Linked DNA regions of Astyanax mexicanus. The protein of the gene in region 3 purifies or fractionates together with the protein of the main gene of each other region. This does not show direct contact. Links are inferred from orthologs where the notes say so. Each region holds a gene or a part of one and is shown on either strand. Other genes may lie near its edges.

Region 1 (7,321 bases), on a different chromosome or scaffold from region 3:
CTGATGTCATTATTAATGACATTAAGGTAATTAATATAGTGTATTTGATGTTATTATTATAATAACTTTCTTCTGATTGTTTAATTAAAAATGTGTAAGTGCTGTTTTTTAGTCAATCCATAGAAAAGAAGTTTGCCTCTGTCTGAGATCATATCTTTCAAACTTGAACAGATTACTGAGAGGATCACTGCCAAAGCAGAACTCAGCTTTAATGAGAGCATCTACGAAGGACAAGACATGAGGAAGATGGAAAAGGTGGGGGAAAGTTAACAGTACAGTACAGTGATGTGGAAAAGTCCTAAATAGACCAAAAAATAGTTTACAACAGTTATTTAATGCAATTGTAATTGGGGTTTTTTTTGGTCAGTGTAATACTTAGCTGTGTAATTTTCTGACTGTTTGAGACTAAAAGCAAAATTAGAAAATTGGATGTAAAAACTATTTTTTATGTAGTGCAGTATACAAAGTGTACAAGACATAAGTGTTCATCCATTTTCCAGTTTTAGTTTGTTAAATTCTGCCCCTCACAACTGGAATTTCAGGACAAAATAAAATCCTTATTTTGCCTTTTCCTATATGTTTTTGACAGTAAGTAAAGATTTTTTACCTTAAGGAATACATTTAAAATTTTTAATTGTAATCACCTTTATAAAACAAGACTAAAGCAACAGTCTGTACTTTAGAGAATTTAGGGATTTAGAGACCTCTCTGGTGAGAATGTGTAACTGCATCAAGCATGTGGAAGAGTACTTTTAAAACCTACCAGACCACTCTGTTTTTAGAATAATATTAGACGCTGCAGGGATGGTCGTGCTAGGACACTGATACAATTATATAGAATATTTTATCACCTCCCAACTCAGGAATACCGCTGCTTTCCGTTTATAATAGAAAATCTTAGGGACTGCTGCTTTAATGTTTCAAATGCTTATGTAAAAATAGTATAGTAATACATAATAGAAAATAGAATAATAGTGAATAATAGTAAATATTCAGAATATGCTGTTCAGTAGAGTTAAAAACTAAGTTATAAGAACCAAAGTTTGCTGGCTGGCTTTTCTGTAACTTCAGAGAAACTCTGTTTGTGAAAATAAACACTGCCTATTTAAATAATTATTTTTGCGTGTATTCTTCACAGTACTGTATATCCAAACAATCAAATTATGATCTTTTTGGCCCACGTGCAACTAACTGTTTCAGTACTGTATATGTTTTTACTCTGAATGCAGGTGGAAGTGGTAGTTATCAAGCAGAAGATTGTGAAATCAACTGCAGTAATTGCAGGTGGCTCCGTTGGGGGGTTTCTGCTGTTAATCATCATCATCATTGTTCTTATAAAGGTAAAAACAAAAGGCTTTTATTTTACTGCTCAAGCTGTATTAAAAAAAATAAAGTAAATGTGTTAACACATTTGTTTGCTTTTCCCTGCAGTGTGGCTTCTTCCGTCGACGGCATCATATGGAGCGTACACAGAGCACACACTGAGAGCTGTCAATTGTCAGCATGACTATACCAGATTGTTATTATATTTTAAATATTGTGACTTTTTATATATTGTATCACTAGTCACCTCTTTATGTTATGTTTTTAGAAGCAGCCTAAACTAAATGTCATTCATTTGTTTCATTTTTTATTTTCTCATATTTTATATTTATAGACTGAAGTGTAAAATTTTAAAATTGAATCTTTTAATAAAATTTGAATATTATTTTTTCTATCTATCAAATAAGATGAGACCTGAAAAGACAAAACTCTGTGTACTTAAGTACTGCAAGTACTTTATTGTACTACTTAAGTACTGAAAGTACAAGTACAGTATTGATATAGATATTGATATAGATATTATTGAAAGCAGTCAAAAGTAGGGAGGCAGCAGTGTGAAAGGCAGAACGGGAGCAACATGTCTTCTTATATGACAGCTTAATCACTTGATTCACTCAGTGATTTTTATCAAACCCGTATTAAACATATCGAATTATGTATTAAAGTAAAAGAGTACTACTTTGTTACTATACATACTCCTTTACAGTTTCTTTATGTATTTTTTTTATGCATTCATATTTTTTATTTATTTAATTTCTGGAAATACATAGAAAAAACATGCAAATTTGCAAATAAATAAATGCATAAAAAGTGTCTTGCACAATCATTTAGACTTTTTATGTGTATATGTGTATTTATGTGTATGTATATATAACTCCAATTTATTTATATAGCACTTTTTACAACTGATGTTGTCGGAAAGCAGCTTTAGAGAAATGTGGTAGCAGTGCAGAGAATCAGACAAAATATTGAACATACAACACAGAACGGAGGCAAGGAAAAACGCCCTCAGAGTTAGAGGAGGAAGAAACCTGGGGAGGAACCAAGGCTCATCACATGTACCTTGTACTATATCATAGGTACTGTCACATGTACTATCAAGGCTAATATGTAAAGGGGACCTATCCTCCTCTGGTCAAACAACTTATAAATAAAGTTAAAAAGTCATTATGTATGTATTACACACAGAGTGGTCTATTTTAACCGTTTATTTATTTTATTGTTGATGATTATGGCTTACAGCCAATGAAAATCAGTGTCTCAGAAAATTGCATACCTCTACAAACCATAACTGATTGGTGGAAACTTCACACTAGACCTCAAGCAGTTTGGACTTTGTGTCTCTCCACTCTTCCTCCAGACTCTGCTCCCTTGATTTACAAATGATGGTCAGTGTTGGTTTAGAGAGACATGTCATCTGCTGGTGTTGGTCCACTTATATAAAGTCCAAAGTCCCATTTCCCGCATAATCTTACATCCCATGCTTCCCTCTGCTGACAACTTTTATGGAGCCTTGATAGATTTCATTTTCCAGCAGGACCTGGCACACTGACAAGATTACCAATTGCCAATTTCAATGATATTCTAACCTTGTATGCGGCTTGATTCATGCTTCATTCGCAAAGACCAAACTGCCCAATCTCAGCCATGCTAAAGCATTTCTAGATCATCACCATCTTCCACCAAACTTCACAGTCCAAACAGAGCTAAACTGCTTTTGTGCCAGGAGTGGAATAAGGTTGCCCAAAAGCAGCGTGAAAGACTTGTGGAGAGCATTGTTGTTTTTATATGACTATGAAATTGTTTTTTTTTTTTTTTTTTTTTTGCATTATTTAAGATTTTAAAGCATTGTACCCTTTTTCATTATTTTGACCATTTACGTTCTGCAAATAAGATAAGATAAGATAATCCTTTATTAATCCTACAATGGGTAAATGTACAATGTTACAGCAGCACAGAGGAAAGGACAGAGAAACAGGTCAGGAAAAAAGTATAAACAAATAATGATAAATCTATATATACAAAAAACTATTACAGACAATATATAAAAGACACTTAAAAATTATATATAGTAAGAAAGAATATATACATCTAGTGCATAGAGATATGATTATGATAGGGTGGATCAGTATTATTGCACAAAGCGCAACAGTGAATAAATATCAAATAAATAGTAGATAAAAAGATGAGAAAAATATTGCACGTTAAACATATTGCACAAATGGTGATAAGGGGATCACAGTACTTGTAGTGAGATGGATATTGCACACGGTAAGCATTACAGCTACACTGAGTAGTATGTAAGTTTGTGAGTAGTATGTAAGTAAATACATGCTAGAATTGACAATATTTGTATTTGTGGGAGAAATGTTGTCAGTGGTTTATAGAATAAAAGAGAAACTGGACATTTTGAAGTGGTCTCTTATTTTTTTTCCAGAGTTGTAACGTTATATATATACAGTGCCCTGAGTTCTTGAGTCAGTTATTGAACTCAGAAGTTTAGAATCACTGTTATGCTGCTCTGCTGCCCCCAGATCCAGATCTAAGTAATAAGTGTGTACACTTCTCAGCTGTGGTCTTCTATTGTTTTAAAACACTTCTGTTTAAAATTTACATTTTGACACAGTCCTCCAGCCTCTTGCTGGCCTACCTACCTGCCCCTATCTAATCCCTGTCCAGAGATCTCCTCCATTCTTATGCCAAGCCAAGACTCGCGAGATCAAACGGGGGAGAGTAAGTTAAGGAAACATGGCGATGTCTAATCTGTTAAAGGTAAGAGACACTACAGCTCAATGCACTCAAACTGCACTCAGTGTGCTGCGGCTGTGTGCGCGGATTCAGCTTTCAACGCAGCGATTTAATAAATGCTTTTGGGCTGATAAACGTGACACTGTGCTTGGGCGGCTTCTTGCAGGACCACTTTATAGGCTAGCTTGTTTTTGCTAGTCAGGCTAAAGCAGAACATAATGTTATGCTATGCTAGCCTATGCTAAGCTAACTAGCTAGTTTATCCGGGGCTATTACTGTCTTAGTAGGTGGTCAGCTCGCTTTAGCAGAAAGCACAGTAAGGTTGTTAATTTTATTTGGGATTTTTTATGTTTTTATAGGGGTTTATCTTACGATGTAGCTGCATGAATACAATAACATAATCAAATTTATTTTAGTTAGCTTGCTAGCTAGGTAGCTTAGCTTGCTTAGCTAACTATACCTGCTTACTGACAGTGACCGGCTAGCAGTCATTTAACCTAGCTAGCTTACCTGAAATTTCGCCTTAGCTAGCAAGCGAATCGGGAGTCATGCGTTACTAACAGTATTTTCAGCTCGTTTTAAGTATATTAAGCTCATAATAAACATTATTTTTGCTAGCTAACTAACCTAGCTAGCTATCATAAACTGTCAATGAGCACCAATAGCTTTAGGTTAGCTAATAACGCCGTTTCTAGGTTAGCTGGCTAGCTAACGTTACATTCACAGAACCGTAAAAAGTTAGCTTAGCTAGGTGTAAACTAACTGTCATTAGTTAACGTTAGATAGATTTGATAGCTAAATACAGCTCTGGAGAATAAATAAGACAAAATCAGTTTCTGAATTAGTTTCTTTGATTTTGCTATTGATATGTATATGTTTGAGTAAAATGAACATTGTTGTTTTATTCTATTAACTACGGACAACATTTCTCCCAAATCCCAAATAAAACATTGTCATTTAGAGCATTTATTTGCAGAAAATTAGAAATGGCTGAAATAACAAGACCTCAAATAATGCAAAGAAAACAAGTTCATATTCATAAAGTTTTAAGAGTTCAGAAATCAATATTTGGTGGAATAACCCTGTTTTTTAAACACAGTTTTCATGCATCTTGGCATGTTCTCCTCCACCAGTCTTACACACTGCTTTTTGATAACTTCATGCCACTCCTGTTGCAAAAATTCAAGCAGTTCAGCTTGATTTGATGGCTTGTGATCGTCCATCTTCCTGTTGATTATATATATATATGATCAAAGAAACATATCATTTTAAGTGGTCTCTTATTTTTTTCCAAAGCTGTATATATGTTAGCAAGCGAATGGCTTCCAGGTTAGTTAACTGGCTAGTTATATCTCTCTCTTTTATTTGCTATCTCTTTTCTATAATCAGCTTTGTAAAAGCTATGTGTTGTTGAAAATAACTGCGTAGATAATAATTATAATTTTTCCATGTTAGTTAGCTAAGTTAGCTAGCTGTCAGCTACAATGACCTGTAGGCAGCTGTCACTCATTGAATGCTGTGACATACAGCTTATTGACATATCTCTGGTGTGTTTGCCAGGTTAGCTTTAACTATTTAAGGTGTCTAGTCAAATACAGATAGCTGACGATTCTGGCACAAATACAGACCAGATAGCTAGACAAAATTTATTTTTTGGTATTGCTAGTTAAATATTGTGGACCAAAACCAATCCAGCTGTGGCAGCCACATATAATGCTTGTCATGTCCTTAGATGCTGTGCTGTCCATTACCTTGTAACATAAACCTCATTATTCCATAGTTTGCTAACTACATTCCCAATGTGTCTAATCAAAAAAATAAGTTACAGTTCCTCTGGAAGTTCATGTCTTGTGTGTGAAAAGTATTGACATTCATTACCCTGTAGGTAGAAGTATAGATATTAGGGTTTAAAATACTTCTGTACAAGTTGAAGTATCATCTCAAGTGAAATGTAAGGGGAAAAAATGCCATTAAGGACAAAGCTTAGGCCACGTCACAGGGTCCTATAGTGCACTACCCTCCCCTCCACCACACAATTTTTTCTAAAAGCCATAATGAATATAATGTTATATTAAAATGTTAATGTTAAACAATTAATGTGTTTTAGTACAATGTTCTCTTGAGTCTCTGCACGGATCATTTTATATTAGGCTACATATGTCTGCTATGTTCTTGGTTGATAAGTATTGTGGGCCAAAACTAGTCCATCTGTGCCAGCCACATATGAAGAAGGCATAACATTCACTAGATCTCTGAGCCCAAAGAAATACTACTGTGTAAAATGTTTGCACAACAGTTATGTTTTGGCCCAAAACTGGCCCAACTTTATTTGACTAAATTCCATGCTCATCTAATAGTAACATAAACTTAATTATACCTTAGTTTTTTAATTAACTACCCAAATGGTCTATTCAAGTAATGAAGCAGTACTGAATACATTTCTTAAGAAAAAAAGTTGTTATGCTACTTTAATTGTGATGTTTCGTGTAATGGTTACTTTGTACTAGAAAAACCATTAAGACCTACCTGGTGTTTTTGGAGATTCTTTGTGTCAAATGTCAAGTTTTAAAAATATAAACATTTTGATCTTTTTAGAGTGGTCCTAAGGTCCAAAGATCCTGATGTTTTTCCTATTTTATGACTATTAATCACTTCAAGAATTGACTGTTTAATTGAAGCGTAATTTAAGTTTTAATCAAAAGGTTTAACTTCACCTGTCAGTGGGACTAAAGCAATGGCTGATTGGTGTAGGTTTAGCAGTTTTTCGGCATCTCTGTAATCTTTCTATTTTTTGTCCTTAGAACAAAGGGTCCCTCCAGTTTGAGGACAAGTGGGACCTGATGCGCCCCATTGTCCTCAAGTTGCTTCGTCAGGAGTCCGTAACAAAACAGCAGTGGTTCGATCTTTTCTCGTAAGGCTGTTGATGACATTCATATACATAATAGAGAATGTTAGCCCTGTTGTTTCTACTAAGAGCATCAGTGTAATTTATTTGACACTCTCTTCTGCTGCAGAGATGTTCATGCAGTCTGCTTGTGGGATGACAAAGGCCCTGCAAAGATCCACCAGGCTCTTAAAGAGGACATTTTAGATTTTATTAAGCAAGCCCAGGCGGTAAGAAATATGTTGGGGTTCATATGCATGCTTCACTTATGAACCCTCAACTTGTGCCTCACATAGCTAACCTCTCTTTACTGTTTGTCAAACTGCATGTCTTTTAGAGGGTGCTCAGTCACCAAGATGACACTGC
Region 2 (7,715 bases), about 5.5 Mb from region 3:
GCGCTCTGCACCACAGACTGGCAAAAAAAAAAAGCATGTCAAACATGGGGTTTTGTTTTGTTTCTAGAAATCCTACAAACAGCTCTCTCTAAAATAGTTCTTGATCTTCCAGACCTCAACTTCAACTCACCGCCACAAAGCCTGTTAATTATGATTAAAAGACTATCTAAAGAAACCACTACCTGAAAACTCTTCTTATGGCATTCTAATATTACGTACATTTTCAGAATGCTGGACAGCTGCTTAGAGGAGTCCATGGCTGCTGATTGTTGGGACAAGGTCTGAGGAATTGGGAGAAAGCTTAGATATTTGTATCCCTCAGTCCTATAAATGAGGGGGAGACAGGAATCAGGCCTAGTCTTGAACTACACTGCATTTAAAATATAGATTTTCAATTGAAAAGAAAATATAGTTTATAACTAGACGTAATCCTGTCCGGGAAACTGACAGTGTAATAGTATAAAATGTTTTTAAAACTACCAATTTTGTCCTTGAGTACTGTATTTTTGCGACTATGAGCATTCCTTTTTTTACTATAAAAATAAAATACAATATAATTTATCACAAAAACAATTATCATCATGCCCTTTTATATGATGACACTAAATACAGCATTTATAATCATAAGAACTTAAATATGAATTAAATAGGGTTCTACAATAGTGTACTACTGTAATGTCAAAGAATCCCCCCCTTCCTTGTGTCTAAGTGCATAAATAACAAGGGATTAAGGCATAACTACCACAATCAGATCAGCACCAATGTGCCACACACTCACAAAGCATCAAGGAAGCAAAGAATCTCATAACTCTTAAACCCAGACTTTATAAGAACTCTTCCTCTTGTGGAAAAGGCCAACATACCGAGGTCAACTTTAAGCTTACTCAGTCTGTGCAGTACATAGTCACTTTCCTGTGCCCAATGTACTGAGATTAAGCACATGTGGACCCACACTTAATTGTAACCCCATACTATAGTGGAAACAGGCTTCGAATTAGTCTATACAGACTATACTAAAACCTAACACAGACAGGGTTAAACACCTGAAAGCTTATAGATGTTTCTAAGTGCACTGACCAAACCCAGATCCACACTTTATAAGCTAGCTAGCTTACAAATATAACTGACAGCTGATAAAGTTCATGTACACTGTACTGAATCAAGCAAATGCAGATATGCAGTCCATCAACGGCCCACTGCACTTTAACCTCTTGAAATAATGATCAGCACTAGACTTTACACCATTATACTGAAACACTAACAATTGTGCTTTTTACAGTAATTATAAACACCTAAATTACCAAATATATGATATGATAATCACCTGCAGCTTCTACCATAGCACAAAAAGTAAGGACATTAGTGTTTGCTAGATTATTTATTTATTGTACCAGTGCTTCTTGGAAATATATCTTATACATTTGGAAAGCCTGTTAACTTCCCTTTTAGGCGTTCCACACTTGTAAGAAACATGCATTTGTTGAATGAGCAGCAGAGTTGAGCATGTGGGATGCATCCATAAAATGCAGATCTTCTTGGGGTGTTCTCTTGTGGGGATGCCCACTTGGCGGTCCCTCTCTAACATCCCCATTATATGGAACTTGGCCTTCAGTTTGGAGATATTGGTACTAGGGCTCACTACAAATTCCAAATAAAACCACACCTTGTTTTTTGCAGAACACCAGCTTGAAGTAGCCTTGCCACATGAACCCTATCCAGATCAGTTAAATGATGCCATGACATGTGACATGATGCCGATTCTTGGAGCAGACACCTACTGGTCACTGTAGCAGAGTCCATGCTCACCTGGCTACTTATTGGCAGCACCTGGGGGTACCAGAAGCTTAAAACAAGTGTCAACAGCAAAATAAGCTGTCTGACCATGGCAGAGAAGATTTGGCAACTTTATTATGGGTGCCACAAACATGCTCTCCCCTACTGCTCATCCCACAGATGCATGTTTCTTACAAATGTGATTTAATGTGACCATTTACAAGAAAAAAATGAACAGGTTTTCCAAAGGTATTATATTTATAGCCAATAATCATTGTTAAAACAAAGAAATGCCAAATCTACCAAATCATTGCTATAAAACTGAATATATAAGACTTAGGTGAATGTATAAAGCCTTTTTAAAAATCATTTAAAAGATGTCTGACCAATGGTAGACATCATGTCTGACCCCCCCTGTATATAGTCTTGGTCCTTCCAAGGTTTCTTCCTTCTCCAGGTTCTTTATTCTGTATTTTTTATGTTTAATGTTTCACCTGATTCTCTGAACTGTGATCACATTTCTGTAAAGCGCTATACAAATAAATTTGATTTGATTGTTTTTACTCTTTGTGCTATGTTTATAACAAAAAGGTCCAGTAAAGTGGCTTAGCGTGAGTCTACTATGCACATTATAGTGAAATTAAAATAACAGACAAGGCTAAACATCTGAAAGTACCAAAACATTGTATTAATGTATTGAGTCTTTAGCTTTTTTGCCTGAAATCAAACCTATGGGGCTACAGAAATAGGTTACTGTCTTATAACCTCTTCATCAAGGGCCCATTTCACTGTAACCTCTCAGAGCAAAGGTCAACACCAGGCTTCATTAAGCTTTTTTTCTGAAATGTTGAACAGGCAGGTTAAATGAACACACACATGGTTATAAACACAGAATCAGTCCATCTCCTGCCCCTCACTCTGCTAGTTCAGCTATAGCCATCACCCCCCTACACTGTAATATAGAAGGGTCCAGTGAGCATGCTTAGCCACTCTTTAAACACATTATACTAGAGCTCGGAGCCCCGGGGCTCGGGCTGAGCTCTTCCACCGGGCTGCAGGGAGCGGGCTGGCCCCGCTGAGCGGCCCGCCGCTGCCCTGCTGCTCCTGAATCTCTGTGTTTTTTGTGGGGATGTGTGTAAAGAGTCCGGCTTTACCTCGGCGGTGGGACTCCGCGCAGCCCCGCTTCGACCACGCAGCCCGGGGTCCCTCCGACATGGAGCGGCGCGCTGCCTCACACCGGCTCCGCCCGAACCCTCATCGCCCCCGGTCACCCTTCAGCCCGCCCGCGCCTCTAAATCAGCCCGCTCTCCGACCGGATTCCAACATTGTGTTTTCCTGCAGCCCTCACAGCCATTCCAGACGCCATGTTATGGTCTGCACTGACGTAATTTCCGGCAGCAGAAGCGGTCGGGCGGAACTGTAGGCGGTGAAGGGGGTGCAATATTTAGCAGCTCAAACTTTAGACTTTAGACGCCGAAATAAGCAGCTTACAAAACCGGGAATATGTGCCACTGGTTGTGTGGTCTGTTTGAAAGATGATAGGCCACAGTCTGACAGGACCCAGCACGTTTTTGCTTTTTTTGCTCTGTACCTGAAGGGCCCAGTAAACACTTACCAGAGCTCCCGACTAACTTTCCTCAACCGTCCCAGAAATCGTCCCAGAGCTTTTAGCCACCCCAAAATGAAAATCGTATTTCTATTTTTTTTCCCCATTTTCTCTCCAATTTACATGGCCAATTACCCAACCCACTCATTAGGACTCCCCCAATCACTAGTCATGCCCCAACACCAGGAGGGTGAAGACTAGCACATGTCTCCTCTGATACATGTGAAGTCAGTCACCACCTCTTTTTGATCTGATGCTGATGCAGCATTGCCGAGTAGTCAGTGCGCTCGGAGGAAAGCGCACAAACTCGGTTCTGATACATCAGCTCACAGATGCTTGTGTTGATCGACATCACCCTTTGGAGTGATGGGGGAGAGAGTGCCATCTACCCACACAGAGAGAGCAAGGCCTATTGTGCTCTCTCAGGGCTACATGGGCAGGATTCGATCCGGTGCCTTAGTCCACTGGGCCACTATTACAGTTGTATTTATTTGTGTACTTAACTACTGCCATAATTTCACCAATTGTTTTTCCTCAAGTGTCTCATCCATTCCTCTACTGCTGCACCATTTGTAGCTGCCAAGTGTTTTGCTTACCTCCAGCTCCAGCTTTACCCAACAGTTTTGTTTTTTTGCACGCAAGTCACATGCATGGTGTGTCCTGTTTGTTTCAATTTATATGCAAAAAAATTCCCTTTTTGCACCATTTCAAGTGCCTCATCCATTTTTAGTCGCCAGTAGTTGCCAACTGCTGCACTGATTGTAGCCACAAATGCATACCTCCAGCTCATTATGTAATGGAAGGAGAATCACATTTCCCAATCCATGATACTTGGACCAAAAAGCAGATTTCAGGTCATGTAGCCCAGTAAATTTCATAAAAGAACAGTGTGGTACCATGAAAGCAGTTAATAAGGACCACAACTGGGCTGCAGTTATCTCCTTTATAATCAGCTTGGAAGCTGTTTACAGTTATTATTACAGATTATCCAGGAGTGTTGAAGCTTGCATGTGCCTCCTTTAATACACCAATTGAGCTTGTAACAGTTAACTGCTGTGGATTAATTATTTTGTCTTTAAATTCACTTGCATGGTGGGACATTTTTTTATTAAATAAGAGATTAAAGCTTAAAGAGGGAGAAAAATAGACTGCTTTGGCAATCAGTTTCATTTAATTCCAACGCTTGTTTTAACATCTAAATAAAATCAAAATTGTAATGCATTTCCTCATTGTGTGTAAATTGAATACTAGTAGCTGTGGGACCTTAAAAAATATGTATATATACACACCTCCATGTTTGTGTTGTTGTCCATGTGCTCTCAGCTAGCCCTAAATGTCCCAGCTACCCCGGAGCATGTGCTCCCAACTCCTGGTAAAAAGTGTTAAAGGCTCAATAAGATGGGAGGAGAATGTTAACTTCTAATTCTCAGCAAACAGATGCCCACACTGCCTAACGTCAGGCATAGGGAGGTACATCCTACTCACTCAGTTAGATTGAGCCCAGCATTACAGTTCATCCCTAAGGTGTTCAGGTGTTCCTTCACATCAAACTTTTCAAAACAAGAAGTTAGCTTTGGGCACAGTGCAACTGCAAAGTTTAAAGCATTGTGTAAAATGTATTTGTTTGTAGTAGCTGTAACATCACCCATCATTGGAACTAAGGGCACAAAAACAGACCCAGGCCATCATCCCAGATCCTCCAAGCTGTAATGTAAGCACTATGCAGTCCAGTATGTAGCGTCGTCCTGGAATCCACCATGACCAGATTTATCCATCAGGCTGCCAGATAGTGAAGAGTGATTCATCACTCCAGAGAGCACATTTCTACTGAGTCCTATTTAACAGTCAATTTGTCATCCCGTCCACATTTCCAAAGAAATAGGCTAAACAGTGTAACAAAACAACATTCCTCTAGGGACTTGGCATGACAGAAAAAGACAAGATAAAACATTTTGTTTGTTGCCAGGGTCACAAAATAATGTAACACACACTCAGTGCAACATATTTGTCTTAACATTTGGAACAGATAAAATACTATATTAGTAAAAATCCATAAGTCCACAAGTTTTACAATTTAGTTTAAAATAAATTGTGGCAAACTTTTGCATTTACAGTCAAAAGTAGGTCAATGGAACAACGTATGCTATTCTGATATTCAATAAACTTTGAATTCAACTCAATCTTACTCACATTTATACGAGTTTTAAAACAGTATTAAAAGTGTCACATAAAGGAAAACTATATTTATATTGGCATAGTTGATTAATGGGAATTTAGTACATGAAACTGACATACCCCAAACTTTAAACATTCTTTTGTCCTCCTTCAAATGCTTTGTAACAGTCTAAACTCTAGGTGGTTGCTATGGTGTTGCTAGGTGGTTCCCTTGGAACACCAGGTGGTTGCTATGCTATTGCTAAGTTGTTGTTTTTACTTGTAGCTGTTCTGGTTATACAGTTGCTATGGTGTTGCTAGGTGGTTGCTGTGGTATCCCACGTGATTGCTATGGTATTTATAGGTAGTTGTTAACTGATTGCTATGGAATGTCAGGTGATTTGTATGGTTTTGCTAAGTGGTTACTATAGTACCCCAGGTAGTTACTAGTCTCACTATGGTTTTTCTTGTTGGTTGCTATTGTTGTTGTCATAATTATGGACAAATATTTATTCTGATTTGTTGATTCTGTGTAAGATTCTAGTCTAGATTCACAGTAAACCAAGAGTTCATGAAATTATTTATGATCCCACCATAAAATTTAAAATATCAGAAAAAAATGAATGCATGTTATAACTATTAAGATAGTCATGGCCCAAATCTGGCTTACATGTGTAGTTTTATTAGACCCATAGACATCCTGCCCTAGACTTAATTCTGATTCTAGAATTCTAGAACACAGACTCAATGTCCCTTTGTCGTCAACGTTGCATAAAGGCTAAGTGCAAATTGAAATGCAAGAAAATGTGCATGAATTTATCCGTGTCTGATTCATGACACTTTAAAACAAGCAGTGATTTAAACACAGATGATGAGTCAGCTTCTTTCCAGGCATGGAAACAAGCACCCTGCACCAATTCTTCATTAACATAACATTTGCAAATTGGATGCCCCAATTTGCCCTCATACACATACAATTTACATTAAACATCCTGACCTCATATAAAGTTAATGTATTTGTGTTGTGAGCCAGCATTAACAGATGGGGTGTATTATTTAATGTGATATTATTTGGTTAGCCTAAAGGTATTTAATTTCAGTTGAAATACACAAAGCAAAGACATACAAAGACATATAGCTAAAGTACAAAGTTGTAGATATAGTGGCAAGATTATAACACTTAATAAAATCACAGAAAGTATAATTATGTGATGATATCCCTGAAACTTACTCAGATATGGCAGTTGGCATTTTTTGGAAAATGAAACTCTAATCATAAAGTAGTCTTTTTAACAAAGAAAATTTTAAATGAGGGTTACTCTGTCATGTCACTGTAACTATATATTTTTTTAAATGGGAGTGAAATGATACATGAAACTGACATACCCTGAACCTTAACTATTATTTTGTCCTCCTTCAAATGCTTTGTAACAGTCTAATCTGATTAATAAAGTGATATTACAGATATAAAAGTAGGCCTTCTTTACTGTGAATTTGCTACATTTTGCTGTTACAAATATGACTCTAATATACTTTAATTGCTATAATTTGCTGTACAAACCTTTTGAATTAATTAGTTAATTCATTCATTTTTTTTTTTTGCATAGAGAAAAAGAGGGGGCGAAATAAAGGACTACAACTGCACCGAGTCGAAAACTACAAAACTGATGACGCATTTTACAGTAGACGGACCCCTTGTCGCTATCGGCTTCATCTTCAACGTGTTTCAGAAATCGCACAGGTAAAGTGTAGCGGTCTGTGGTCGCTGTGTGCCGGTGATTCGGTGTCTTTTCAGGGTTCGTGTGTGTACGGACGGGGCAGGTGATCGTGCTGGGTGAGAAGGTTTTTGGGGTTAATTCTGGGGAAACACATGGTTCCTCCTCCTCCTCGCTGTATTGCATCATCCACGCCTGAGTTCAGGACCCGGGGGTGGTTGAATCGCTCGTGTTTCAGTGGGTTCTGTGTTTGTATGTGTAGTGAATTTAGAGAGTGTATTTTTTGTTGTGTAGTAGAGGATTAGCGGGTGTGAGTGTGTATGAAATGTGTTTTATTGTGTGGTGAAACAGTCAGGCGGCGCTCGGTCACGTTCTCGTTTCTTTTCCTTTAAGATGGCGGGTGATGAGGGAGTAACGCTGGGTCAGCCGCATCTGGCTAAACAAGACCTCAGCACTCTAGTAAGTGT
Region 3 (7,544 bases):
GAAAGAATGTGATCATGTTCATCTTGCCTGTAGAAACATGAAAACAGAAAAGCAAAAAAAAAAAGTCTTTATCAATCTTTTGTCCATTATTTGGGCTTTTAACCCTATATTGTATGGTGTTGCCCTCAAGCATCAAAACCACTTTTTCAGTAATTAGCTACATAATCCCTTTATTTTTTAATGTTACTATTTTTAAATATAATGTTAAAAGACAAGCCTCCACTGAACAATATAGGGGGTAGAATTTGGTTTAACATTCCACCTGCAGGTGGAGTAATATTTTTAGCAACCAAAGCCACATGGGATGCAATCCCAGCAACTGATAAGATTAATGTGATGTTATAACACGTTTAAATTAAATCAAATATATTTAACATTACTTAATAAAATATGTATGAGCATCAATATGTAATGAAATACAGCTCTGGTAGAGAAATGGGAGTGGCATAAAATGATCCAAAAGCAGTGTGTAAGACATGCCAAGATGCATGAAAACTGAGATAAAAAAACAGGGAACTCTTAAAACTTTATGAATAGGGACTTTTGCATCTTGCAACTTTTGCTCTGCATCTTTTTTTTTATTTCAGCCATTTCTCATTTTCTGCAATTAAATGCTCTAAATTACAGTATTTGCGTTTGGAATTAGGGAGAAATGCTGTCCGTAGTTTATAGAATAAAACAACAATGTTCATTTTACTCAAACATATACCTATAAATAGCAAAATCAGAGAAACTGATTCAGAAACCGAAGTGGTTTCATTTTTTTCAGAGCTGTATATTGAGGTTTTAAATTACTTATTAAAATAGTGTTTTTTCATTTGTGGCCTGAGGAAAACATGCAGTCAGACCTCTTTTTAAGCAGTGCTTGTTTTTTTTTTCTCCAAATAAAATTTAAAAAGGCATACCACAGAGGGTTAATTCACAGCAGCTGAATGAATGAAAGAATGAATGAATGTTTGCTTTACTGTTTTTTAAGCATTTTTATCACCATACATGCATGAAGTTAGGAGGTTTAATTCTAATTAACTAATCATTCTAAATAACTCTTTACCAGGTACAGCAAGAATAAATCAGTGTCGCTGTTTAATTATTACACAACAGTCCTCTCTACACAACCTGTACAACAGGTAGCTGAGCTGATACAGTCAGTCTTACCTCTCTAATGCCTCTAAAGCCTCGTGGAAGAGTCTCATGCTTGTTGCAGTCAGTTCAGTCGGGTCCAGTGTTCGTGAAGTCTCATACTCAGGGTTAAGGGTTAATATCAGAGCTGCAGCTCAAACATTCACTCAGTTAATTCACCGGTAAAGTGGACTGAACTGAAGGAACCAGTATTTTGCTTCTGCACTTCCTCAATGACTTCTGAACGTAAACGTCACACAGAGGATCATGGGTAATGTAGTGCTTACCTTAACCTTTAGCCGCTGGACTCCTGAAACTTCTATTTTCTTTCCTTTTTATTTGTGCAGATACTTTATCGAAGCACAAATTGCTGCAACACATCTCTGAGATGCTGTAAAGTGTTTATTTAACCCTGTCTGCAAAATCCCACATCCATCGCATGTGTTATATTAGTTAAAGACCTCCTTTACTCAGGAGCAGTTTCAATATCAAACCACTAGATGGCAAACTCTTACTAAAACAGCAAGATTTCTACACTTCTGTGCCACTTTATTAATATACAAATTCCTTATTCAAAGAAAACTTCTACTCCTACATATATTTAATTCAATATATACAAAGTAAAAAATTGCAAAATTAAGGAATTTATTTATTTTTTTTCTTTTGTTTTAAACACCTTTCTGATCTTGTCGATAAGAAATAAGACCCTGTTTGTAGCTGTGTCCTCGGGCAATTCTCAATAAATTAAAAAAATAAATAAATAAAATAAAACAAAGCTGTATTTATATACATTTTCTCATGTACAGTACCAGTCAAAAGTTTGGACACACCTTCTCATTCAATGCTTTTCCTTTTTTTTTTTTTTTCTACATTGTAGATAAATGTTAAAGACATGGAAACAAATTAGATGCACAAAGGCAATTACAGAGTAAACAAAAATAGTCTGGCCCCCACAATATATTGTCCAAATAATATTCTATATTATATTTATGAATATTTATTATTTATATTAAATTTGCAATATAATATATATATATCATGAAAAAAAAGAAAACGTATTAAACATGCAGAAAATGTTGACAGGTACTGTATATATCAAGTTTGTCAAATAAAGAATTCTAATCTCTGGTCAATGTTTGGTCTTGCTGGAGTTTCAAAGTGTAAAGAAAAAACAGCAACTATTGTTCAGAACCTCCTTCAAGATGTTGAGAAAACTATTCCACTATTCCAATATGTATGAAACATATTCTGGTTTGTTAAACACTTTTTGTAAAAAACATAATTCCATGTGTGTTCCTGTATATAGCTTTAATGTACTCATCATTACATTTACAATGTAAGAAATCCTAAAAATAAAAAATAAAAACAAATTGTATGAAAAGAGGTGTGTCCAAACTTTTGACTGGTACTGTATACACAGTATTGTATTGAGTATACTATAACTGCCACTTCTTCCATTACTGAAATGTATGTTTTTTCACTGTATCCTCATCTTCCCTGACTTATTTTGTATATGTCCTTATTTATTAACATAAAAAAACATCTATTGTCTGAACCCTGTTTGCTTTGGACAAATTGACAATAATGTTATACTTTTTCAAATTAAAGGAATAAATATAAATAAATATTATTATATTTAATGTATGTGTTTAGCCTTTTAGCTACATTGGCCCCCATTATTTTGGACTCACAGTTTGCAGAGCAGATTCTCACTGTGTTTTTTCACAAGATGCAGAGTAGTGTGATATTACACTGCTGAACACTCTGAAATAGTAACAGACCACAACAACAGCTTAACACCTCCACAGAAAGGTGTTTGTGGTTTTTGGTCCCAAATAACATGCCCATGTGGGTGCTGTGTGGGTAGCCTAACTGGGAAATTTTTCACAGGTTCCATGTGGATTCTCATATGTAATGGGTCCAGGATAGTTAAACAATAGCTTCCATTTGGGTTGTATGATGCACATGGGGCCTAGATCTTTATTTGATCAAAACAGATTAGGCCTGCTCTTCATAACCAAATCAATCCAGAACTCTGCAATCAGGGAATTAAAACTGTAAATTAATGCATTGCTAAGTGTAGTAAACTGGTGTCACTTAGGTTGTTATATTTTGTGAGTAGATTTATTAAGATTCTGTTCCTCTTAACCCTTTCTGACCTTGCATCCATTACAATGGACATCGTGTATTTGAGAGCTGTTTTCCATCAGACCATAAACCAATAAACCAATAAACAAGTTTATAAACCAATAAAACAGTAACTTGGCCACTTCACTGGAAAAACAATAGTACTACAGCCAATGAGGCAAAGTAACAGCTAATATTTACTAATGTGATTTAGAACACGTTTTAATCATGCTTTTTTACGGTTTAGGGTGGTTTGTGAAATAAAAAGGTCAATATGAAATATTGGAAATAATGGAAATAAAAAATAGTAAATATTTTAGTTAATTTGATTTATTTGCTTATATTAATTTTATTATAGAATATTAGAGTCTTCTTTTCTGTGCATTACAGTCATAAAACAGCATTCTTACATTTTCTCATCACTGAAGATAATTCCGTTTTGAAAGGGTTAATCAAGTATCAGAAGGACTTTTATTTTGAAATTGTGGGTATCTACATATCAAGCAGTGCTCGGGCATTGTGGGAGTAATTAAAATGTATAATATATTGTCAGTAAAATAAAAAGACTAAGCGTGTAATATGTGAGGACAGTCATAAATGATATTCGCGTGATAAATGATTTGTACAAGACGGTTTATTTTCTTCAACGTGGTGCATTTCTGATCTTTGCCAGCTGATGGCGCCATGTTCCCGCATGTTAAGTGCTCGGGTTGCCATATTGGGAAAAAACATTTTAAAAATGGCTTGCTTATATTGAACAAATTTCCATTTAATACTTAGTCAGAATGTAACTAATTTTTTTATTAAAGTGAAAGCTAAAATTTATCTACATGCATATACGCTAAATTAAGTAAAATGGGCTATTTTCAGTGGTGAAATTCGAATTACTATTATAGTATATTATTATTATTATTATTGTTGTTGTTGTTGTTGTTGTTATTATTATTAATATTATTTATATACGTATATGTTTTATGTACGGATTTTGTGTTTATTTGTTTTTTTTTTATTTGTTGGTTTCCGTTCTCTTTTTGTATATTTTTGCTGCATACAACACTTGTATTACATTTGTTCAACGACAAATATTTATTTTAATGTATGTACGTTTTCCTCTTGTACATATAAGTTTTAGTTCCAGAAATACCAATTAAAATTAGTTTTTATGTTTCACTGTTCCTCAAGTCACAATGATCTAAGATCGCGCTTTACACACGGGGAGTTTTTAGGCCTCTTTTGGCAACCCTGGTCGCAACGGCCATTTGCCGTAGAAGAAGCCCCAACAACAGCAGCAGCAGCTAGTAGCTAATCTGGCTAATCTGAATCCAGGAGTGTGTATAATTGTAAAAACAGTGTCCTGAGGAGCAGCTGAGCTCCGCCGCGGTCCTGCGTCTGATCCTGGTCTGTAGTTTTGAGGGCAGTAGTCTGTAGGGTCTGTGGGCTGGTTGTCTGTAGGCAGTGCTAGGCTCGGTGAGCTAGCTGTAGGTTAGTTATGGCCGGCAGCAGCAGCAGTATAGCCCAGAAGACCTGGGAGCTGTCCAACAGCATTCAGGAAGTTCAGAGCATCGACGAGATCTACAAATACGACAAAAAACAACAGCAGGAGATACTCGCAGCCAAGCCATGGACTAAAGAGTGAGCCCCGCTCCCGTGATTTATAACATATCGCAGTGATGACTAGCTGTCTGTCTGTGTCTGTGTGTGTTTTCTATCTGTGTCTGTGTGTTTTCTGTCTGTGTGTTTTCTGTCTTTGTGTTTTCTGTCTTTGTGTTTTCTGTCTGTGTGTTTTCTGTCTGTGTGTTGTCTGTCTGTGTGTTGTCTGTCTGTGTGTTGTCTGGCTGTGTGTTGTCTGTCTGTGTCTGTGTGTTTTCTGTCTGTGTCTGTGTGTTTTCTGTCTGTGTCTGTGTGTTTTCTGTCTGTGTCTGTGTGTTTTCTGTCTGTGTGTTTTCTATCTGTGTCTGTGTGTTGTCTGTCTGTGTCTGTGTGTTTTCTGTCTGTGTCTGTGTGTTTTCTCTCTGTGTCTGTGTGTTTTGTCTGTATTTTAGGAGTTGTGTGTTTGTTTTTGTGTTTTTTTCTGTCTGTCTTTTTTTGTTAGTTTTTTTCTGTCTGGTTTTGCTTTGTGTTTTTTTCTGTCTGTGTTTTGGGATTGTGTGTTGGATTTCTGTCTGGGTCTGTGTTTTGTGTGTTTTCTGTCTGTGATTGAGAGATGTGTATGTATCATTGTGTGCTATGCTCTTGTTTACAGCCACCACTACTTTAAGTACTGTAAGATCTCAGCCCTGGCTCTTCTGAAGATGGTGATGCACGCCCGCTCTGGGGGGAACCTGGAGGTGATGGGACTGATGCTGGGGAAGGTGGATGGAGAGACCATGATGATCATGGACAGCTTCGCACTGCCTGTGGAGGGTACAGAGACCCGGGTCAACGCTCAGGCTGCAGCCTATGAGTACATGGCTGCCTACATAGAGAATGCTAAACAGGTAGGTTAAGCTTTACACCCCACAGTTCACAGCGGAGTATAGCTTAAAGTCTGGAACACCCCTTTTTCATGCCTTTTTATTTTCTCATCTTATCAATGACTTTATTACTGCACTTCACCTGTCAGACCTTTAACTCTTCTCTCATCACTGATGAAACTGAGTCCAATGTTAAGCTGAGCTAAAGAGGCTGTGCTTTTTTATACAATATAGGATTTTTTTTTTATAATATGCTTTTACCATATACTCATATTTTTTAGGTGTTTTTTTACCCTATTAAAATCAAAATGTATTTGTTTTGGCAGTTTACTGCAAAACGTTGTACATTTGATTTTGTACCATTTATTAACTGGACCTAAAAAACCCAAATAGCAAAAATAAAGGGGGAGAGGGGGGCTGTAATAAAACTTTTGACCGGTACTGTATTTCTCATATATATCAAGTATATAAAATAAAGCATGCTGATCTGGGGTCATCTTACACGTTTTATATAATTCTGATTTGCTGATTTTATTTTCTACATCGTAGATTAATATTAAAGACATGAAAAAAAAATTAATGGACACACAAGGAATAGGAATGTAGTAAACAAAAATATCCTATATTTATTAATATTGATTATATTTAATTTACAATGTGGATGATAAGGTGTGTCTACAATTTTTTCAAATAGAAAATGCTGATTTGGTGTCTGCTTACACCTTTTATACAATTCCTGTTTGAATTATATTATGAGATAGGACTTCATCTTGTCTTAATTTTTTTTATTATTATTTGATCATACCATGTCCTTATACTGAGGTGCAGGAAAACTGTTCCTTATTATAGTAATTTTAGTACATTTTCAAAAGATAGGTTTTCTTCTTGTCACACTGTCAAGCTGAAAAATCAACTCCAAATATTTTTGGTTTTAGACCAGTCTTAGCCCTAATCTTTAGTCAACTCAAGTCAAAAGGCTTTTATGGTAATTTCCTCTGAGTAAATGTGCACAGTAGTACCGTGGTGTAATATGGTAAGAAAACTATGCAATACAGAATACACTAAGGGCAAAATATAGAATCAGAACAATGAGCTTGATTAATAAAGCAGACATAAGACACAGCTGTGTGTGTTGTGATAAGGTGCAGAGATGGGTAACACCCTATGACATATTGATAAAACTGATATTTAAGATTAAGCTTTTATTATTTCCTCCATATATATGGCACTTGTATGCAATCATTTATTTAATAATTTGAGTTTCTGAGTCTGTGTCAGTGACTGACATGTATCCGTTAATGAAATGCCTACACTAAAAAAATATACCAAAATACAGTGCAAAACTAAAGAATTTAGTTCAGGCATTAAGGTTGTGTTTCCTGATGACGTGTGTTTAAAGTAAGGGGAGGATTGTGTAAGTTTGATTTGCTTTAGTGAAAAATCTTTGGATTCCTTTTATTTCATGAGCTGTACATATGCATACTCCTTATTATTAATCAGTTGCTACAGTTTATTTGGCATTTTGGATTTGTGATCTGTTTGTAGCCATATATTAATGTGCTCTGATAGTGATTTTATTTTAGATTTTGTTCTTCTACAATTACAACAGTTACATAAAGACAATAACAGCAAACTATATGTGGATTTATGTCATGCCCATATGTGATGACCATATATACTGCAGACTCTGCTTGAATATATTAATATAATTTTAGATGCTGATAGGGCATTAAGCACAACAACGAAAGCAGTAAAGTTTCTTCAGATAATTGTCTAATGAAATGTGTACTAGTCTGTCTAAGAAGAGCTAAAAGTAAAATAAATATTGCTGTAATCATGAATACA
Region 4 (7,405 bases), about 8.0 Mb from region 3:
TCGTCACTGTAGACTCCACAGAAAGCTTTCTGATGGTACGTGTCCTTATGAGCCACAAAATTGGGCAGAAAACTGAACAACACATAATAAAAAGGAACAAATAAAAAATGAAACAAAAAATTACACAAATACAAATATTAAGTTACATTAACATCAACATTCTCATTCAATACATCTTATCTATGGTCTAATGGATGACTTGTGTTGAAGAGTTTCTAAAATGCAGCAATTGTGATGTATAATGAATAAATTGCAGGGATTGTGTGTATGTGTGTGTGTACTCACTGTGAGCGTATCCGACTGCACTCGCCATGAGAGAAACTGGATCCACGACACCGACCCTGCTCCCTCTGGAACACACACACACAGTCACTAGAACACTGATGTACAATAAACCTATTAAGGTCTATGTGTTTGCTGTTGTGTAAGCGAAGGTCAGTTCATGTTTCTATATGAGCTGTAATTCAGTTGTCAATGCTCAGAGATTATTCTTGAGTTTTGTTCAAATAAAAAAAAACAGTAACTATCATTTGATGGTCCTTCACCTGATTCAGCATGTGTGTAAAGCTGTGTTTCCCCTTCAGATTTGAGGAGGCAGTGGCCAGCAGGATCTGTGTTCGGATCTCACTGCGATCCACTTCCTGAGTATCCGGATGGGAGTCCACTAAAACAAAAAGACATGCAGTGTGTGTAATTAGGTGTAGCAGTGAGTAATAAGGATTGAGTATTGAAGGTGATTATTTCTTGGCTGCTGTTTCACATACATTTCCCTCTAGAAACCAATTAAATACATCAACCAATTTGTTTATATTTACCCGGAGGATCATAACGGTGTCCCAGACGTCCCTCCCAGGCTCCATCACTGTCCTCATCAGAGTCTGAGACAGACTGGACGAGCTGCAGTCCTGTTGCTCCACTCCCATGGACCAGTCTGACCTGGCCCCTACACCACAAGCAAACACACAGCACACATTACAACCCCTCCACAACACACAAACCAGCTTTTAAGACTTAAATTCCTCAAGCTTTGGTGGACTGACAAAGCAACAATCTTTCGGAGTGAACCACAGTGCATTTCTATAAAGTCTATATCAGTGGTTCTCATTATACTCTGGCAGAACACAGTAAATGAAAGTGGACCTATTTATCTCAATATCTCTGTTTAATCTCGACATGCATCAGCATGTTAATCATAAAAACAAGGTCATATTAAAAATCCCCTTCAGCATGAAAATGTCACTACACACACACACACACACACACACACACACACACACACACACACACACACACAAACACATATATATATATATATATATATATATATATATATATATATATATATATATATATATATGCATATTTGTATTACACACCTACATTACTACGGACTGTCTAGTAGGGCTGCAACTAATGATTATTTTGGTAGTGGACTAATCAGATGATAATTATTTCGATTAGTCGATTAATCAACGATTATTTGTGCCATGTTCTCCATCTCTAAAAAAACAGAAAACATGAGATTTAAAAGGCATTTAAATGTCCAGAAGTTGTTTAAACATGGAGAGTACTGACATTTAGTGATTAATAATGTAATCTGTTCTGTTGTAGTCGACAAATTTAAATAATCGACATTGTCGATTATAACGACTAATCGTTGCAGCTACTGTCTAGGACACAAATTGATTAAATAACTGTATACTGAATACCAAATCCTTTTTTTAATTGACAACATTAACATTTACATTAAAATTTTTTTTACTTAAAATAACAATAGCAAAAAAAATTCTTTAAAAAGAAAAAAAAATCATGGTATTAGTCATTATGAAATATTCCAAAACATTTAACTTAGAAAAGAAACTAGGAGAATTAGTAAACCTTATGAATGTGAATTTCAATAGAACACTGTATCGCTTGTTTCTCAATGAAGTATTTAAAGCACTTAAGAGTACTGAAATTATTACCAAACTGCATAGTAGTATAAATAATACAAAAATTATATTAACAGGTCTCCACTTCACCTTCTCAGTAGGTACGCCAGTACTTGTGCTAAATCAACGTCCTCCTCGGACGCTGATGCTCTGTCTGCCTGCCTCTCGGGCTGCCGGCGGCCTCTCTGGTTGGAATTCTGGTTAGATTCTGGTTCTGACTGGTCTGGGTTGCCGCTGGAGCCCCGACCGGACATCCCAGAACTGGACTGAGAGCCCATAGACCGAGCACCTGGGGAAATATGAAACAGAACACAATGATTTGAATTGACATATTATACCAGACATACTGTTTCCTATATCTGATATGATATGATACTAAAACCTGGAGTAAAACCTGTCAATACTGATCAGATGTGTCTTTCTTTAATAATTACTAAGCTTTATAATGGTTAGATATTTATATATGTATATAGCTCATTAACTACTATGTTTAAACTGTACTACCACATCCAATGGCCTTTATGTTCCTTTCATAACTTCCGTGACAGGATTCACAGGATTTTTCCTCTGGTGTGTAAAAAACAGTATAGTATTCACACTTAACACAAACAAAACATTCAATCCTCAAATACAGATAATCTATAGCTCTCTTTTCTTCCACCTGCATCTGCCAACACATCACAATAGCTAACTGAAGTTCGAGAAAGAAATGAGAGCAGGGTGGACTGGTTTAGACTATGATCAGCATTTCACACAGGCAGTGTCATGGGCAGACATACATACAATATGTTGACCCTGAACGTTGGCTTCTTATTGGAATCGTCTATTCCACCTTAAATGGCCCAGGAGTTACATTCTGGCGTTCAGAAGAACACAGCAGCCGTACCATTTAAGGTGGAAGGGACAGATCCAATAAGAAACCGGCGATTAAGGAACCAAGGACGAAAACATTCCCCACAGACTTAAACTGGACAGGACACAGGTCAGCTCACAGCCCACTGTCACACACCCCGCTAGTGACCTGTGTTTACAGCCCCCAGTTCACTGTTCACCGCTGTGACACAGTGTTTATATGCCCCCCTCCGCCGCCGCTGTCTTTATCTGTTTATAATGTGAGTGTTAGCCCCGTGCTAACGGGCCTACCGTCACTCTGCAGTCTCTCAGCTCTCCGCGTCCACTGTTACTCCCGGACACCTGCGGTACCGCTCCCTGTACTCATACAAACCCGACCCCCGGCTGACAGCTCGCTCCCCCGCTCCTCTAATCCGCTTTTATGAGCCCCTCTCTCTGCCTCAGACCCTCCATGTTGTTTATGAAGCGATGCGCGTTCACGACGATCACGTGACACGGTCGCGAACCCGAGAGCGAGATCCACAGACTAAAAAAACAAAACTGGAAAAAAAAAAAAAAACAGGGAAAATATATTAACAAAAACAATATCTTGTAAAATATATACAGTAAAACATACACTTAAATATACAGTAAAATATACATCTAAATATACAGTAAAATATACACTTACATGCACAGTAGAATATACACTTAAATATACAGTAAAATATACAACTAAATATACAGTAAAATACACACTTAAATATACACTATAATATACATGAAAATATCCAGATATTACATAAATAATATAAACTAATATATACACAAATACAGAGAATATTATAAAAAATGTTATACAGTAAAATATACAGATTTACAAAGAATATTAACAAAAATATTGTACACTAAAACATACAGATTTACAGAAAATATTAACAAAATTATATACAGTAAAATATACAGATTCACAGAGTATATTAACAGAAAAAATACACTAATACACACAATATTAACAAATATACACTGATATATACATAAATATAGAGATAAAATTAAAATAATAAATCTAAAGCTCTTGATATAAAAACACACATTTAAAGAGAATAATGACAAATATAGATAAAAATACATATGCAACTAATTTAGATTTTTAATCATGATATAAATAGTCTTGACAAAATATACATATTTACAGAAAATGTGCTAGCTAAAAAAATATTTAAAAGCTGTGAGCACTGACAAATTTTTACATAACCTTTTCTGATATTTTAATACTGTAAAGAGAAAGAAACATAATCTGGCATAAACATTAAAGCAATGTGAGTAATGTTATATGTGGGTATTGTTATTTATAGACATTTTGCCCAAACTTTTGATGCAGATTTTAGCAAAAAGGTTTTAGTTTTTTTTTTTTTACTATATTAATTTGTATAAACGTTTATTTCATAGATTTGTCCTTCTGTTTTCTTTACAGAACACAGATTCAATAATATGTGTAAAACTGGGTAAAAAATTAACCCAGTGGTGGCTTAGGGTAATCATATACAGTATTAGTGCAACTCTATTAACCCCAGTCTGAACACCTTAAAAACAATCATAAACAAATAAATATAAAAGAATGACCTTTTATAACTGGTAGATGATGGAATGGTGTGGAGATGGGGAATGTGGAGACTGTAGAACAGGCATTATTTTCGTACATATGCAACTTACTTGCACTTACATTTCTTTGAGTGATTTAAAAAAATATATATTTGCTGGTTAAAGGATAGATCAAAGAAATGAAGTGGCATGAGCCAGAGCAGGAACGTTCAATGTTTCTCGTGTTCTGTGTTAAAGAATTGCTTTTGCTCCAGCACACCTGGGTCTGATATTTTGTTGGATCTGAAAGCTCTCAACAGATAATTCAAGAGTGGCCAAAAAGAGTCTACAGCTGCGTTTGGAATCTATCCCTATAACAGAAATAGTGCACTCTGTAGTGTGTCAACTATTTTGAAGTGCTGTTTGATCTCAGTAGTACATTTAAACCCTCAGATTTTCCACTTGAGATAGTGACTATGTAGTAAGTGACCACCACAGAGCAGTTATTATTTAGGTGATTGGTTGTTAACAGCACTGCAGTGGCCCTGGGCTGTGCTGCTGGAGTTTTTAAACAGTGTTCATTCTCTGTCCTCCACTCTATTAGACACTCCTACCTACCTGCTCCACCTTTTAGATCAGAGACAGTAGCTCATCTGTTGCTGCAGTTTCTGTTGGTCTTCCTCTACGTTCCCACAGGACGCTGCTGGCTGAATATTTCTGGTTTGTGGACTATTCTGTCTAACAGTCACACTGCGGGGTTATTGTCCAGCAGCTCTTCTGCACCACCTCATCAGTGTTACTACAGGGCTGTGAATAACCGACCAGTGAAAGACTTGAATAACGTACCTAAAGTACTTTTGCTGAAGTAGCAAAAGGTCAGTTTAACATGGCTGTCTTGTACACATGAACCCCACTGTGGGTTTGCAGAGAAATATACTATGTTCAAGAACGTGCTAAAGCATTCAATTATGTGCTTAAACGTCAAATAACATTCTGCGTAATTCAGTAATTTGGTGCATATAAACACTGAAATGTCCAGAAATGTGATGTAACATTCAGTAAAATTCAGTGTAACATGCTGCAGTAATCACTGACACATTAAATACATTGCAGAAGGAAAAAAAATACAGAACTACATTCTGGTTTATTGTTTTTTTTATTTTGAAATCTTTAAAGAAATTGCAACCTCATCACACTGTCTTATTCTGGACGTTGAAAAAAAAAAAATCCTACTTGCGTTTCTTGAACACTGAAAAGTAAAAGTTCAACAAAAATTAATTGTCAGTTAAATCCATATCAATTATATTAAAAAAAGATATAATAACGACAGCAAATATCAAAGTTTGGGAAAAAAGTAAGTGCAATATTCATTAAATCCAGACTTACTTTTCTTTTTGTTTTTCTTCATAAGCTTCTTCTTCTTCTTTGGTCTTTCCACATCCTACAACATAAAAGAATAATTATTTACTATGATAATTTAGATTATTATTCATTAACAGACCTGCTCCATCTGAGCAGTTTTGAGAACATCACTGCTGTGTAGAGATTATGCTCTCATGATTTAAGAGTTTATGGTTTATTATGAGTGATTTTAATAATGTTTTTCAATGTGCTCACCGCTGTCTGCCTGCCAGTCAGTGCCGTGATGTCACTGAAGTGTGTGATGTTGCCCAGTTGTGAGGTCATTCCCACCATCCGCCTCTTTTTGGCCTTCTGTTCTCGGGTAAGACTTAGACGCACCATCATGGACTCCTCATAGTTCTTCCTAAAGAAAGACAAAGAACAGTGATCTGTAAACACTGAGGCCAGACATTGCAGGCATCATCACAGAAAAAAAAATCAACCAAGATGGGGTTACAGAGGAGCTGCTTCCCAGCAGGGAAAGAGAGAGTGCACAGCAAGTTATGTTATGCAAGGATTGTACCTCCAGCTTTATAGAGCCAACACAGACAGCTAATACAGTACAAAGTATATTAATCTGTTATTCATCTACAGTAACTCTATAATTCAGTATATTTTTCTTACCTGTGTCTGTCCTCTTGTATCTCACGATCAGTCTGGAAATCTTGGCGGTCCCGGATCTCCTCTGGAGCATCACTGTATTGTCGCCGGAGCTCCTGGATGACGGAGCTGCGCAGAGCCGCTTTCCTCTGCTTATCAGCAAAGTCTTTCTGCCGGTCCGACTCGGTCATATCCCCGCCTGCAGTTCAACAGACAAGACAATTTTACCAAAGTGTATGTGATCTGTTGAGCAGCACTCAAAGCCACAGTCTCACCACAGTGATGCTGATTAAATACTTCCATAAGAAACTGATTTGAATTTGAAAACATTATTTGGATTATTGGATTATTACTAAACCATTAACTGAATCATGCATTTTACCATAATGCATTGGGGCAATCTTGGGTGGTACGTATTTCCTGCCAAGTCCTGTTTTCTGATCATCTTTTTCATCTCCTGGTTCATGATCATCATCAACATCATCATCTGAGTCTTCAGCTTCGCTGAGCTGCATAAACATAAAAATACAATAACTAAATTTGGAATCCAAATGTCACATGACCAGGTACAGGCAATTAAAGGGATCTGAGTGGGTTTTACCTTACTGGCGAGATTCTCAGGATTTGGACGAAAGTGTAAAGGATCATTCGCGGCTGTAACAGAAGATACAACTCTAGTTAGGAGGCATATTCATATTCACTATTCTTTTGTGATACACAATGTATTCCTGCACACATCTGACTTGAAACATGATGAGATTTTTATTTAATCCACAAAAGTAGATGAAGAAAAAAACGGATTAATTAATGAAGCAAAAGGGATAACTTGCAAAGGTGAAGTGTGAGGTGACCACAGTGCAATTATAAGATCAAGGATAGGAACAAAGCAGATTATTCTAGTCTTATATATTCCATTTTAGGAACAATTAATTGAATTATTTGTGTTTAAAAATATGGGGTAGCAATTCTCACTCCTATGTTTCAAGAACATAAATCTCGGTATTCATGTTCTAAGAAGTGTTTAATGGCTTGAACAAAGGAAATTAGAGAAATCACGC

Evidence for each region.
Region 1: the proteins of cops5 (region 3) and cul5a purify together in Homo sapiens (affinity purification with western blotting; 6 studies listed by BioGRID and IntAct, with this or other methods). This does not show direct contact. The link is inferred for Astyanax mexicanus from reciprocal best matches to the Homo sapiens genes COPS5 and CUL5.
Region 2: the proteins of cops5 (region 3) and klhl15 purify together in Homo sapiens (affinity purification with mass spectrometry; 3 studies listed by BioGRID and IntAct, with this or other methods). This does not show direct contact. The link is inferred for Astyanax mexicanus from reciprocal best matches to the Homo sapiens genes COPS5 and KLHL15.
Region 4: the proteins of cops5 (region 3) and dcaf11 purify together in Homo sapiens (affinity purification with mass spectrometry; 6 studies listed by BioGRID and IntAct, with this or other methods). This does not show direct contact. The link is inferred for Astyanax mexicanus from reciprocal best matches to the Homo sapiens genes COPS5 and DCAF11.

What each region holds. Positions count from the first base shown.
Region 1 is NC_064425.1:6,513,165-6,520,485, forward strand, and holds the start of cul5a (cullin-5a), read left to right. Parts: upstream 1-4,003; 5' UTR 4,004-4,071; coding exon 4,072-4,095; intron 4,096-6,872; coding exon 6,873-6,982; intron 6,983-7,085; coding exon 7,086-7,185; intron 7,186-7,292; coding exon 7,293-7,321. Other genes in the region: itgae.2 (integrin alpha-E), read left to right, coding at 1-26, 172-255, 1,230-1,340, 1,432-1,485. UniProt on the Homo sapiens protein: Core component of multiple cullin-5-RING E3 ubiquitin-protein ligase complexes (ECS complexes, also named CRL5 complexes), which mediate the ubiquitination and subsequent proteasomal degradation of target proteins.
Region 2 is NC_064408.1:92,115,642-92,123,356, forward strand, and holds the start of klhl15 (kelch-like protein 15), read right to left. Parts: upstream 3,174-7,715; 5' UTR 2,989-3,173; coding exon 2,928-2,988; intron 325-2,927; exon of another isoform or gene 220-324; intron 1-219. Other genes in the region: eif2s3 (eukaryotic translation initiation factor 2 subunit 3), read left to right, coding at 7,642-7,707. UniProt on the Homo sapiens protein: Substrate-specific adapter for CUL3 E3 ubiquitin-protein ligase complex.
Region 3 is NC_064408.1:97,568,245-97,575,788, reverse strand, and holds the start of cops5 (COP9 signalosome complex subunit 5), read left to right. Parts: upstream 1-4,487; 5' UTR 4,488-4,735; coding exon 4,736-4,878; intron 4,879-5,488; coding exon 5,489-5,723; intron 5,724-7,544. Other genes in the region: pign (GPI ethanolamine phosphate transferase 1), read right to left, coding at 1-22. UniProt on the Homo sapiens protein: Probable protease subunit of the COP9 signalosome complex (CSN), a complex involved in various cellular and developmental processes.
Region 4 is NC_064408.1:89,573,935-89,581,339, forward strand, and holds the start of dcaf11 (DDB1- and CUL4-associated factor 11), read right to left. Parts: upstream 3,268-7,405; 5' UTR 3,075-3,267; intron 2,221-3,074; 5' UTR 2,210-2,220; coding exon 2,022-2,209; intron 944-2,021; coding exon 816-943; intron 665-815; coding exon 546-664; intron 351-545; coding exon 286-350; intron 73-285; coding exon 1-72. Other genes in the region: ngdn (neuroguidin), read right to left, coding at 5,576-5,595, 5,733-5,787, 5,964-6,111, 6,372-6,546, 6,730-6,856, 6,949-7,001. UniProt on the Homo sapiens protein: May function as a substrate receptor for CUL4-DDB1 E3 ubiquitin-protein ligase complex.